Linked DNA regions of Drosophila melanogaster. Changing the gene in region 1 together with any one later gene gives a genetic interaction. Each region holds a gene or a part of one and is shown in the gene's direction. Other genes may lie near its edges.

The links.
Region 2: of vri (region 1) and Pdp1, changing one enhances a phenotype caused by changing the other (phenotypic enhancement), as found in Drosophila melanogaster (one study listed by BioGRID).

Annotation. Positions count from the first base shown.
Region 1 is NT_033779.5:5,303,623-5,311,906, forward strand, and holds vri (vrille), read left to right. Parts: upstream 1-2,027; 5' UTR 2,028-2,402; coding exon 2,403-2,544; intron 2,545-3,942; coding exon 3,943-4,290; intron 4,291-4,398; coding exon 4,399-6,098; 3' UTR 6,099-7,601; downstream 7,602-8,284.
Region 2 is NT_037436.4:7,830,027-7,835,173, reverse strand, and holds the start of Pdp1 (PAR-domain protein 1), read left to right. Parts: upstream 1-2,100; 5' UTR 2,101-2,620; intron 2,621-3,346; 5' UTR 3,347-3,595; coding exon 3,596-4,787; intron 4,788-5,147.

The DNA of each region.
Region 1 (8,284 bases):
GACGAAAGTGTTTCGTAACCGTTTTGGGCTAACTACAGCAATTCCTCCCTATACCCTATACCATATTCGAGTATGAGTGTGTCAAAACAAACCAAAAGATGAGTGTTGGCATCCCGGGGCAGAATGTTAGTATAGAAAACACTACACAAACCAGCACACCACAGCAAACAGAGTGGAGTGTGATAAGGGCCACATTACACATACATATTTGCATACTGATAATGGATGTGCCGCAGATTACGGGGTATCCCAGAGGGGTTGGTCGGGGGGGTCTGGCCCACCATCCCGACGGATCCGACTACGATTGGTCCGGACACGTGAATCGGGCGACTCACGTGGATATCGCGCAGTGATCGCGTAATTGAGATTTGCTCATGATCATGGAACTGGAAGCTGTGCAATTGAAACTGCCAAGTGTATAGCCAGATTACATAAGGTAACGATATTTAGTAGAAAATTGCTATGCCCCAGGAGGATAGGTCAGTTATAGGCTCGTACTTTAAAACACTAACATTATACAGTGGTCTACTGACTTAATGCAATATAGTTTTCTTAGTTCTATTATTAGCACTGATAAAGTGCACTTTATGTATTGCACTTTAATCAGTATTTATGTACATACATATGTATTTCATTTCATTTATTCTCCACTTTTCCGGTTTTCTGGCATTTGGTAATCGCCATCGAGAACTGTTTTTATGCGAATTCAATGGAATTTCTTCTTTCGATTCGATACTATTCACTGTTTGTTCCGCGTTAGTGTTTTACTGCCTGGTGAATAGGAAATTACGTAATATCTCCCGACCTTACTTTTTTACAACAACTCGTTGTTTGCCTAGTGTAGTACTTAAATAGCCGTCTTTGTCTTCCACTGCAACTAAGTTGATAGTCACCCCATCCATTCTGATAACCGTATCGCAGTGTTAAGCACTTAATTATGATTTATATAAGCTGTGAAGTGGTTTTGTAATAGCCAACCAGACAGTTTGGTGGCTGGGAAGTTATCGGCACGACCATATATTCCCCTTGTTAAACTATCCAAAGTTTCAAAGCCACGTGATCTGTCGATTTGTTCGTCGTACATTAAATAAATTGGTAATTGTATGCAGATTTAGACGAGTTCAATAGTTAGCTAGCACTGTTTACTGTTTACTCTACTCGAATTAGATTTTCTGGGAATTTATTCTGAACGCAAATATGTTTGTAGAGTGGGGAAACCCAAAAATTCACTGATTGGAACTTCAAATATACATATGTACGTATGTGTATGTACTTTAATGCTATACATTAAAATCAAATCAATAAGCTACATCTTAAGGCAAATACTTTTGCTTCCTTATCAATGTTCTTAAATTTTTAATTACCTTTCATAATGTTAATTAAATACGTAAGGAAATTTCCTCTAGTTATCCACTCTTACATGCAACTTAAAAAAGTGTCTTGCCTAAGCTTTTCATTCAAATCAGTTTTCCCAACTCCCCAGCCATTTGCATGTGTGCATTTGAATGCATTCTCGATTATTAATAATGTGCTGCTGGTTCTCTGAATATTTTGTGTAAGACGCTTGCGTCACCAACCCAACTGGCACACACACACAAGCATACTCACACGAACACATCGAACCCAAAAAGGGTAAAAAAAAATGAATACAACCAGTACCGAGAATCGGAATCAGAATGGGAATAAGAATCGCAATCGAAATCGGACTCACGCGGCCAAAGCACCTCAGTCACCTTACGTGTGTGTGCGTTCTTGTGTGTGTTTGAGCGTCAAGAGCGAACCCGCTGGCAAGAGCTACCCCACCCCCCGCAGCAGGCAATCACGTTCTAGTTTCGAATATGCAGCTCGAAACGATTTTGTTCTTGCCGAGATTGCCGCGCTGATTACTCAACAACAACGGCAATGTGATCGCTTGCAACGGGCATGCTGGTACATGTTCGAAGCGGCGATTGAGAAATTTCACTTTTACTGCATCGAACCGTTCGCAACATGTTGCGAGCGAACACGCTAGGTCGCGTGTATCGGATGCGTGTTGCCACAACGTGACCGCCGAGCAGCTCGTCGGAGAAATGCTTTTACAAATTCAATTGCGATTCAGCCTTCTTTCGAAGCGGTTCAGGCGCTCGCGATAAGTCTCTAGACTATACTACCAAACCATATAATATACAGCCGATCGGGTTCACAACCGCGATAAGCAAGTGAGAGCCGTCGGTCGAGCCGTTAAAAGCATTTCGGCCAAGTGCATCAAGCGCAGAAACGTCGCGTTAGCCAACTAAATCGGTCAAATTGGTTAAACCCCGAACTGCACAAGTGTTTGAAAAACAATTTTCAAAAGATTTGGATAATATCTGCAAGCGCACACAAAAACAATGCCAATTTGTTCGTTCTAACAACAAAACATTATGTCGATTGTCTGCACGCTGGAACAGAAAGTGAACTTTTTCAAAGCGGCTGCAACGACCAAAAATCTGTTGATACTCAAAAACAATACGGATACGAATTACATCAATAACTACAAGCAGGATAATCCCAGCAACAATAAATGTAGGTGTTCAAGTGCTACGAAAGTTATAACAAATAAATCAGTGTTACGAAAAGTTTAAAACTATGTGCTTCTTTGAGCAGCATTTTCGAACTTTCCACGTTTGATCTTGAAATCTGTTGAGAATTTGTGTGAAAACTGATGACAATCACAATATTTAAATATTTCTGCTCTTTTTGCGTAGTACAGTGGCAACTGTTAATCAGTTCTAGAATATTTACTAAACTTAGTCGGCTGAAAACAATAACACACGAAAGATTGAGACGCAAAACAAAATAGCCCGAAAAAGTGTGGGTGAATGGGGGGCTGAGTGGGGTGCGGTGGAATGACTGGCGAAGCTTAGTCATTTTGTTTTTGTGAATTTTGTCAAGATGCCGACTGCAGCGCTGCTCTCTGTGTTGCCCTCTCTGTTGCTCTCCCGTTTAGGGGTTGTCGGCAGAGTCTGGCCGCCAGAGCGCTTAAGTGTACGTGCATGTGTGTGTGTGTGTGTGTTTGTGTCTGCGAGCACATTGAACTGTAAATGCCAATTCGATGGTCATGGTGAGGGTGAGTGAGAAAGAAAGAGAGTGGGAGAAAGATGTCTAAGGGTACGGGAGCGGGGGCGCACTCACACACAGATGTGCAATGTGCGATTTCTTGTTTACATTCTAACACTTTGTCTGTGTGTGTGTGATTGTGCTGGTTCTTCGTCGCCTTTGTCGTCTAATTCTCGCTCCCTCTCTTTCTCGCTCCCACTCGCCGATTCTTGCATCATTCGGCGTAATCATTGTGTAAATGCCTGTGCTAAAAACGAAAGCAAACGGTAAAGCTATAGACGAGGGCAAGCAGCAAGGGCAAGGACCAACGAACAAAGAAAGTTCTGCATGTTTGTGTGTGCGTTGGGCCAGACAAGATCGCATTAGACATTTTGGGGACCCAACGAGTTTTGCGTTGAGTGGCGGACGCCTTGTCAATTTGTTAGCTTATCAAATGCTCAGCCTGATTAGTATTACTAAATATGTATATATTTTCTAAATGTCGCATATGTAGCTAGATAAGAACATTTGAAAGAAATGCCATAAATAGGTGATAAGTGATATTGTTTTGGTAGCAGGAAAGAGATATTCTTCGCAATCTTGGCTTTTAATTGGGGGCAAGGTCTTGTTTGTTTATTATTTTCGGGGCTGCAAAAAGTGTAGTCTGCTTCCAGGCGCAGGAAATGAGTGTTGTACAAATTGGTAGAACGCTTTAATTTGAATTCATAACAGAGAATAGTTGAAATAGTTTAAAAGATCTTAAAAGTGCTATACAATACTTTTTAAAGGTATAAATAAGTTTAGCAATATAATAAAATAAAATACGTCCCTTCTTAAGGAACTATGAATGTCAAAGAGACTAACCTCTCTATCTTTGCATTGCAGTTCCCCGCATCCAAGCTCAAAGCAACAACAGCCATCTGCAACACCAGCAGCAACTGCAGCAGAAACTAGCGCAGCTGCATCACTACAGCCAGCAGAAGCTGAGCGGCAGCGACTTTCCCTACGGGCCACGCCCCCCCACCGGAGGCAAAGAGGAGAAGCTGCTCCTGCTAGCGCCGCCGGGCAAACTCTATCCGGAGGCGTCTGTGTCCACAGCAATGCCCGAGGTCCTCAGCGGCACGCCCACCAACAGCCACAACAAAGCCAACATCGCCATGATGAACAACGTCCGGCTATCCAATATATCGCCGACTCTCTCGATGAACGGCAGCTCCAACGAGGCTTCTAACTGTAAGTGTCCGAGAATATAATGATGCAGTGGCTCTGATCATATCAATTATCTATCCATCTATAGTTCCAAAGCTTGAGAACTAATCCTATGCCCTTCTCTCCTTACAGTGCATCCGTTGTCCATGTACGGAGGATCCATAAGTCCGCAGTCAAATGACAGCGGCATGTCCGACAGTCTGGGCAAATATGTCCCGGGAAGCGGCTATGGAGATGGAATGATGGCCCAGTCGCCCTCACAGGGTGGCAATGGACCGCAGTCGGCGTTGACCGCCGCCCAGAAAGAGCTCTTCTCGCAGCGAAAGCAACGCGAATTCACCCCGGACAACAAGAAGGACGAGAGCTACTGGGATCGCCGGAGAAGGAACAACGAGGCGGCCAAGCGGAGTCGAGAGAAGAGGCGCTACAATGACATGGTTCTGGAGCAGCGCGTCATCGAGCTGACCAAAGAGAACCATGTGCTGAAGGCCCAGCTGGACGCCATACGCGACAAGTTCAACATCTCCGGCGAGAATCTGGTGAGCGTGGAGAAGATCCTCGCCTCGCTGCCCACCAGCGAACAGGTGCTGAGTAACACAAAGCGCGCCAAGATGAGCGGCAGTGGTGGCTCCTCCTCGGGCTCCTCGCCCTCGGGCAGTGGATCGGGCGAGGGATCGCCTCAAGGTGGCCACAATGGCTATCCGGTGGGTCCACCACTATCTCCACTGATCTACGGACCCAATGGCAATGCCCGGCCAGAGGCCACGGTTAAGAGTGTCCACCACATACATCATGCGGGTGTTGCGCCGCCACCAACGCACCTACAACAGTTGGTTGTGCCCCAGTCCCAGACACAGCATCTCTACCAGCCACAGCCGCAGCAGCATCAGCCGCATCAGCAGCAGCAGATTTCCCAGCCACCGCAGCAACAACAGCAGCAGCAGGAGCCAAGTCCCAGTGCCGGCTCCAGTTCGCCAGTCATCTCCGATCCGCACAACCGCCCGCCAAGCACCACCATTGCCAATCTCCAGGTGCAACTGCAGCAGGCACTAAACCGCAATGTCAGGCCCGAGGATCTGGACAGCTTGCGCAAGGTGGTGGCCGCCGGCGCTCTATACAATGCGGCAGCCGTGGTGGGAGCACCACCACCGCCACCATCTGCTGGTCTCTACGTGCCCGCTCCCAGCGCCTATAAGGATCACCTGGAAGCGGCTGCAGCCTGGAGCCACAATGTCGAGGCTGCTGTGAGCAGCAGTGCTGTGGATGCGGTCAGTAGCTCATCGGTGTCCGGCAGTGCGGCCAGTGTGCTGAATCTATCGCGTCGGGCCTGCTCACCCAGCTACGAGCACATGCTCTCCTCCACCACCTCCTCCACTCTTTCCTCGGCCTCCTCATCGGGAGCTGTTTCCGGCGATGATGAGCAGGAGCACGAACCAGCGCACATGGCTCCACTGCAGCTGCAGCGAAGCAGTCCGCAGCAGGGCAGCGATGCCAACAACTGTCTGCCCCTCAAGCTGCGCCACAAGTCCCATCTCGGCGACAAGGATGCGGCGGCCACGGCGCTACTCTCACTGCAGCACATCAAGCAGGAGCCCAACTGCAGTCGGGCATCGCCGCCGGCTTGGAACGATGGCGGCGACAATTCCAGCGACGAAAGGGACTCCGGCATCTCCATCGCCAGTGCGGAGTGGACGGCGCAGCTGCAGAGGAAGCTACTGGCGCCCAAGGAGGCCAATGTGGTAACCAGTGCCGAGCGCGATCAAATGCTCAAGTCGCAGCTGGAGCGCCTAGAGTCCGAGGTGGCCAGCATCAAGATGATCTTGGCGGAGTAAGCAAGCCCCTGTCCAAGCTGGACAGGATCACGACTAGGCGGATCAGGAGAGAGAGCGAAGAGACAGAGGCTCTGAAGGGATCAGAGTCGGGGGAGCAGAGCAGTAGATGGCAAAGCAGAGAGTTCCATGGCGCCAGTAGTTCTCCTGGACAAAGAAGTTGGTTTAAGCATATGTTAGTAGAGATGTCCAAAACCGAGTGATAACTATTAGATACCGATGCATGCATGTCTCCATCTCTATGTAGAACTCTAGGGCCAGGTCTGGACCACAAGGATTTGACACAAGACCCTGTGGCCCGAAACTGGCCAACACTTATCTGTGTGTATGTTTATCTATCCACTGTATTGAGTCTTGTAATCGTGAATGTTTAACTATATAGATCTCGTCAACTCGGAGCTAAAAAAAAATCCTTAGGGTCAGCCCAAAAGAATTTCTAATTTAACCTGTTTGTTGTATACACACAAGCTATTTGTTTGCATAGCTAGCTGGTGACCTGCGATGAGCATCGGGGTCACCAGCCACGTTATTGTTCTCTTATGCATCCCAAGTTTCCTTATGCACAGCGAAAGTGGAGAAGATAAAGAATTATTATGTTTGTAAGCAAACGTTACAAAGTATTTGCTGTTGTACATATTACACAATTAATTATATATACTATATAACTATACAGATATCTATATTCCTATCATGTACATAATTTTAGTTGCAAGCTAAGCTTATTTTATTTTATTTTATTTTACTTTGTATTGAGTACTATTATTATTATTATTATTATGTAGTGAAACAAACATATACATTACACTTAAGAAACGCGTGAAGCACATTCAAAACGTGAGAGATGAAAGAAATCTGAAAAGAATTGATGAATAAATTCTGCAATAAATAATTTTAAATATCCTCCTACCTTAATGTTTGTCGTTCGCCATTTATTTATGTTTTTTGCCGCTTCGGTCACCCGTGTGGCTCACAGCGCTTCAACTAAATGTTATCGAAGTTTATAAAACTTTAGAAACAAAACTAAAAAAGAACTCTAAGCCACACAAAAAACACACATTTTATTTGTAGACCATCTAGCTGAGTAGATCGATCGTTTGGTGTCGTAATTCGAGCATTCACTTTTAAAGCTGTATTACACTTTACAAATAATCGCAGTGGAGCACACAAGAAAATACATATGACTACTACTATATACATACAGCCCTATCTATATGCATATTAAAATAACTCGTTTGTGTTGATCAATGAAAATAAACTATTTATAATAATGAAACAAACCAGCAAAGGTCTTTTACTGCCAATTGTTTACTGCACTTCAATATTCGCCGGTTTGTTGGGTGTGAATCATACACAATTATTGTATATCAGCAAAGTGCAAGTTAATCTATTACACAGCTTTTTAAAAATATTACATCACCATCATCGCACGAGCTTATCGCATATTGCAGAATGAGTTAGTTGAAAACCTGAAAACTTTCCAAAATGATTTCAAACTTCAGGTACGTCGAGTGGTAAAGAGATTATTTATTCTTAATAACTTTGTTGCCTTGTATTCATACAACGAAAAAAAGTTTTGAAAATTTAAATTTATTTAGAATAATATCGTGTTACTTTTCGATTCTCTGTTATCATTATCATTCGAAATACAGTATAAGTATAATAATTAAATATTCTCTGTCTTTATAATAAATCCTTAAACATCACATGAAAAGTTTTTCTGTTGGGTTTTTGCCTTTGTTTTTATAAGTTCTAAACACTTTCCTTTCGTTCTTTGGTATCATTTTCATAATTTTTTCATATCGGGAAATCGAATATTTTCCGCTTGTTTCGTTAGCCTAGGAAAAACGTATCTAGAGTCCACAAAAGTTATAGACTTAGATCAAGACCTGTTTATAAATTTCGTTAATATATAGGTATATATAATAACTTAACAATAGTAAGTACCATATGTTGTGGTTTTTGAGGGTTTTGGTATCTGGGGATTCGGTTGTAAATACGTGTAAATACAGAATTTCATTTGGTGTAAGACGATTTCTCACTTTCTGGTTGTATAAACTCTCCAGCCTTGCCTTGAAGATTAGCATTCGCGATATAGGTAAAGAGGTCTGTATATATCGTTTAACTATAATATCTATATATATATAATATATCGCTTTTCTTGTGGGTGTGTGTTTTCGTTTGGTTTGAGA
Region 2 (5,147 bases), on another chromosome or scaffold:
GTCGTCGCGGTCGACGTCGTTCTCTGTCCATGTCGACGTTGGCAGATTTTCCCGGATTGGTTCCCTATTCTCGGCTTCACTGGCATATAAGCCTGGCCAATAGCAAAGCTCTGCCGCACATCCTTCTGTTATTGGATCCCGAAGCAAACTTCGTTTTTTCCTTCGCTTCGGAGCTTCGGATGACTTGTTGCTTTCCAAAAATAGTCACTGGCTGCACGGGGCGTATACTCGATATTCCCAGAATTGACCCGCCTGGGTAAAACAGGTGACTGAAGTTCGCTCTACCACATGGTCCATGGTTATGCCAATTGATGGGTTTTCAGGGCTGACTGGGTTTCTCAAATGCAAAAAAAAAAGAGTTTTGTTTAACCGAAGAATAGCACAAGGCTGAAAAAAGGTGGGCGACTTAACAAGTTTAACAAGTAGAAAAATGGCGAGGATATTCTTGGAATTCTTTTGAATTGGTTTAACGAAAGATGGAACCTTACAAATTGAATAAGTCTTATATATTTTATTTATTTTATATATTTCTTTATTTATATATTTCTTAAATAATCCATGTAATTGTAATTCAGTTTATTTGCATTTTTATCAGAAATGTGTTTTTATATTTTATCTCAAATTGCTTACTGCTCTGATTCATAGTTATAAAATCTTCGATGATCATTGGGTAAGTATTGAGTGTATTATACAAAACTTCTAAGAAAATTTACCGGACCTATGCCAACAGAGAGCAATTATTATAATTATTTAAACTTGATTAAGCCCTCGAATAGTTTGAATACTTTTTGAAATTTCCAAGAAAAACGGCGACCTACGGCAATAGTTTAGCGCCTTCGATAGAATGCAGATTAAGTATACGCTCCGTTGCAGCTACTACGTCGTTTCATTGGGTTTTCGCCCAGAGTGTTAAGCACTCAGCTTCAGACCCCCCCCCCCCACCACTCTGCCCCATCGGATCTACTTACTGGGAATGACGCAGCGGTAATTAGTTGGTGGCACAGAGGCAATCCTTTGGAGCACATTACGCATACGTCACGTGTTGCAGACGCACCAGTGCCGAATTAACCGAATATTGGCACGGCAATTGGCCAATCGGCCACGCACTCCAGCTGATGTGTAAAGTCTAGTGGCCATAGGTACACCCGTTACAGGGGGACAGACATAGCGCTCTATTGCGAATCGACTGGAAACTTTTGAGTTGCATTCGTATCTCTATTTGTCACCCTATCGGTACGTGTATCTTTGAGTGCGCTTGTCGTTCAACGTGCACTCTCATTCTCTCTGTCGCTCTCTCTCAATTAATTTGCGTATGTGTGTGTGCCCGGTGTGTCCGCAACACGTGCTTAGAACTGTGCTAGACAGTGGGCTTTGGGTCATATTGAAATCCGCGTGACTTGGCCGCAGCAGCGCTCAGCGCCTCAGCGGGCGTCGCAGTTCCAGTCCCCCAAGTATATACAAATAACTACAGCTATGTCCAAGATAATAGCAATCATTTAAGAGCAAGAAAAAAATGTTTTAAAATAATAAATTTTGTTACTAGAATATTATAAGTAATGTTGAAATAACTGAGATAAAACAAAGTTGCTTTAAAAAAAAATATTATTAAGTTCTTGATAGATAATTAGATATAAGAAGATAACATAGGTTTAGTCCTAAGTGAATTATAATTTATAATAGATTTGATACTAAATCTGAGTCGAAGTACTCGTATATGAACACTGTTTAATATATACCAAGAACTGTACTAAAAATACCTATGGCACTTGAATTGATTAATATAGTAGTAATGCTAATCATTTTCCCAGTGCTGTATGTAAAAATATTTGTTGTACATGTACAAATATTTTGCGCTACCAACATTTGATAAAAAAAAGCCAGTTAAACAATTATCAAAGTAGGAGAGGGGTTACTGTTTTCGGACCTCCGCCCTTTACGTAAGCCGACTTACTTGCAGAAAATTGCAATTTTTAGCTGGCTGAGAGAGCGGTAGCGGCGACTGCGACGTCGACTGCAGCGACGACTGCAGCGGCGGCAGAGGAAAAGCAGAGACGGACATTGAGACCGAGAAAATTACTCGGCCGGCATTCTGTCGCATCGCGTTCTCATGTGAAAATCGTCGCAGCTCGTTCCGTGTTTTCGCCACTCGAGCGGGAAAATCAAAAAATATTTCTACGCTCAACAAAATAAATTAATTGAAATTGATTTTTCAAGCAACAGAAATAGTTCTAGAAGAACTATAAATCGAGGAAGTCATTTTTGTTTTATCAAATTTCAAGTGCAATGGGTTCATTGTGAAATCAATCTAAAGTGTGTGTGTGTGTGTCATTCGAATAATTACTATTATTAAAAAAGAAATAAATACGCAGAAAGAGAGAGAGAGATCGAACGAGGCAGAGTGAAAGAGAGAGATAGAGAAAAAAGCGAGAGATCCGGAGATCTCTCGAGAATCTTTAAACAACAGCGCTAAAGTTACGGATCTAATTTCAAACAGTTTAATTTACTTTTAATTTTTCTACAAAACAACAAACTTCAAAAAGAAAAATACGAACCAGCAAAACTCAAAGCAAAAAACGATCTCATATCCAAGCGCAGCAACAAATTCTGAGAATAAGAAAAGGTATTCAACAAAAGGCTGAAAGGAAGAAGAGTTATTCATCAATGAAAAGGATAATTCAATTGATTTGGAAAATAATAATTTATTTGTTTTGATTTATATATAGAAAATATTCCAAATTTACGTTGAAATAATGTTAAAAAAAAAAAAACATTGGAAGCCTTTGACTCGGTTGATTTGATATACAGTTTAATTGGCAAATAATTATTAGTTTGTCTCGTTTTAAAAGTGAAGCAAAAACAATAAATGACCGTGAATGTTTTGATTGCAAAAATTCCATAAAGAACACGGAAAGCCTTTGTACCTATTGATTCCACTTTAAGATTTCTATAGCGTCACAAAAATCTTATTATACAAAATTGATTGAACTAAAAGAAAGCGCAAACTATACAACTATACAATGCCTTTTCTTATTCCTTATCATCATGATCATCAATAAAAACTAATGGAAAACTAAATAAAAATCATACAAAAATAGACGAAAACAAAGTGCATTCCCTGACCACACGAAAACAAGCGCATTCATTATCAGTTGCTATCAAAATCGCTTCCCCATCATACTCAATACTCACTAATAAAACTGAAAAACTGAATCATTCCCAACATTTTTCACCCACCTATCACCTGTTCATTAGCAACAACGAATTGGCTATCAATTGACTGGCAAATAAAAAACCAGCAACATACCAAAGTGCTCAAACACTAATCTGGGTTTTTCAAAAACAAAAGCACAATATTTTTTTCAGATAACACAGACAAGCGTTTATGTTAAAAACAAAAAAACTAAAGTGAACCCAAGTGTAAAGACAATGCGCACAACTTTTGGCCGTGGCCCAAAGTTTATACTGCTGACCAGCAAATTTAATCACGTTCAGCACAAGGAGGTGATCACCTAGGATCATCAGAAAACAGTGATTAACCGTAACCAGTGAAGGATAACCCAGTGAATAACGTACCCAGTTGTTGAAACCAGTGATCATGTCGTCGGATACGAATTCGTGTACTAGTTTCTTTGCCCAGGAGCACGCGAATGCCACATTGTCGCAGTATTTCCAGCAGCTTAACTCGCACGTTGCTGCTGCAGCGGCGGGCAATAGCGGTGGCAACAGCAGCAGCAGCAACAACAACAACAGCAGCGGCAACAACAGCAGCAGCGGCAACAGCGACAGCGGAAATGATGGCAGCATGACAGGATCATCGGGAACCATGGACAACCATCGCAGCAGTGTTAGCAGCAATGATTCGGGCAAGAGTAGCGCCACAGGAGGCGGCGGGGCAGGTGCCACCAGCAACAATGGCGTGAATGCCTGGGCCTTGCAGCAGCAGCAACAAACCGCCGCCCTGCACCATCAGCAACAGCAGCAGCATCAACAGCAGCAGCAACACCAACAGCACCTACAGCAACACCATCAAGCGCACCATCAGCATGTCCTGCAGCAGCAGCAGCAGCAGCAACAGCAGCACTCCCAGCATCAGCATCAGCAGCAACATCACGGCCACCCGTTGCATCCGCATCATACACACCAGCAGCAACAACAACAACAACAGCAGCAGCAGCCGCCGCCGCAACACCACCAGCAGCAGCAACAGCAGCACGCACAGCAGCAGCAGCAGCAGCATCATGCCGCCCAGCTGGCACATACACTGTCATCGGCCGCCGTTGCTGCTGCAGCCGGGAATACCGGTGGCAACACCAACCCCCACTCCATTTTCGGCACCGGCAACTTCCACTACAAGACGAACAACTCGTGGACGCTGCCCACGCTAACGTACCAGAGGATTTACCAGGAGAATCCCCATTACCAGCGCAACTCCTTCATGGATCCGCAGAGTAATGCCGCTGCAGCTGCAGCAGCTGCTGCTGCCAGTTGCAATGCTGCCGCTGTTGCGGCAGCCGCTGCAGTTGCAAGTGGCAACCAGGGATCGAATGGGAATGCCAGTGGCAATGGTAATGCTGTTGTGGCGGCAACTGGTAATGGAAATGGTGGAAATCCCGGCCAGAATAACAACAACAATAACGGCAACAATAGTGGCAATAGCAACAATAACAGCAACAACAATGTGTCCTCCGTGCAACATGTGGCAAATGCCGTCGCAGCGGCAGTGATCGCCAATGAGCATCACAACCATTTGAACAGCTTGAAAGCGCGATTTCAGCCAGCCAGCTCAGGTGAGGTGAAAAACTTGAGGAAAAAAGGGGGGGAAATTGTTGGAAAATATATATTGGATATATAGTAATGACCTTAAATGGTTTGTTAACTATAGAAAAATGGAAAAGTGCTACTTAACAGCTGTACTGTGCATTCGTATATATATATAAACTTATGTATATATCTTTCTACCGCTTAGATACTTCAACTTTTCTTGGTTGTCTTAAACATTAGTTGTATACAGTACTCTGAATAACTAAATTGTTTTGAGAACACAAAAAGCACACTTAAAGGGAGAAAAACCAAAAACAACTGATAAAGTGTATGACTAGTTCTGAGGATTTCCATTCTATATTCGCCCAGGCTGCATTAGAAAATGA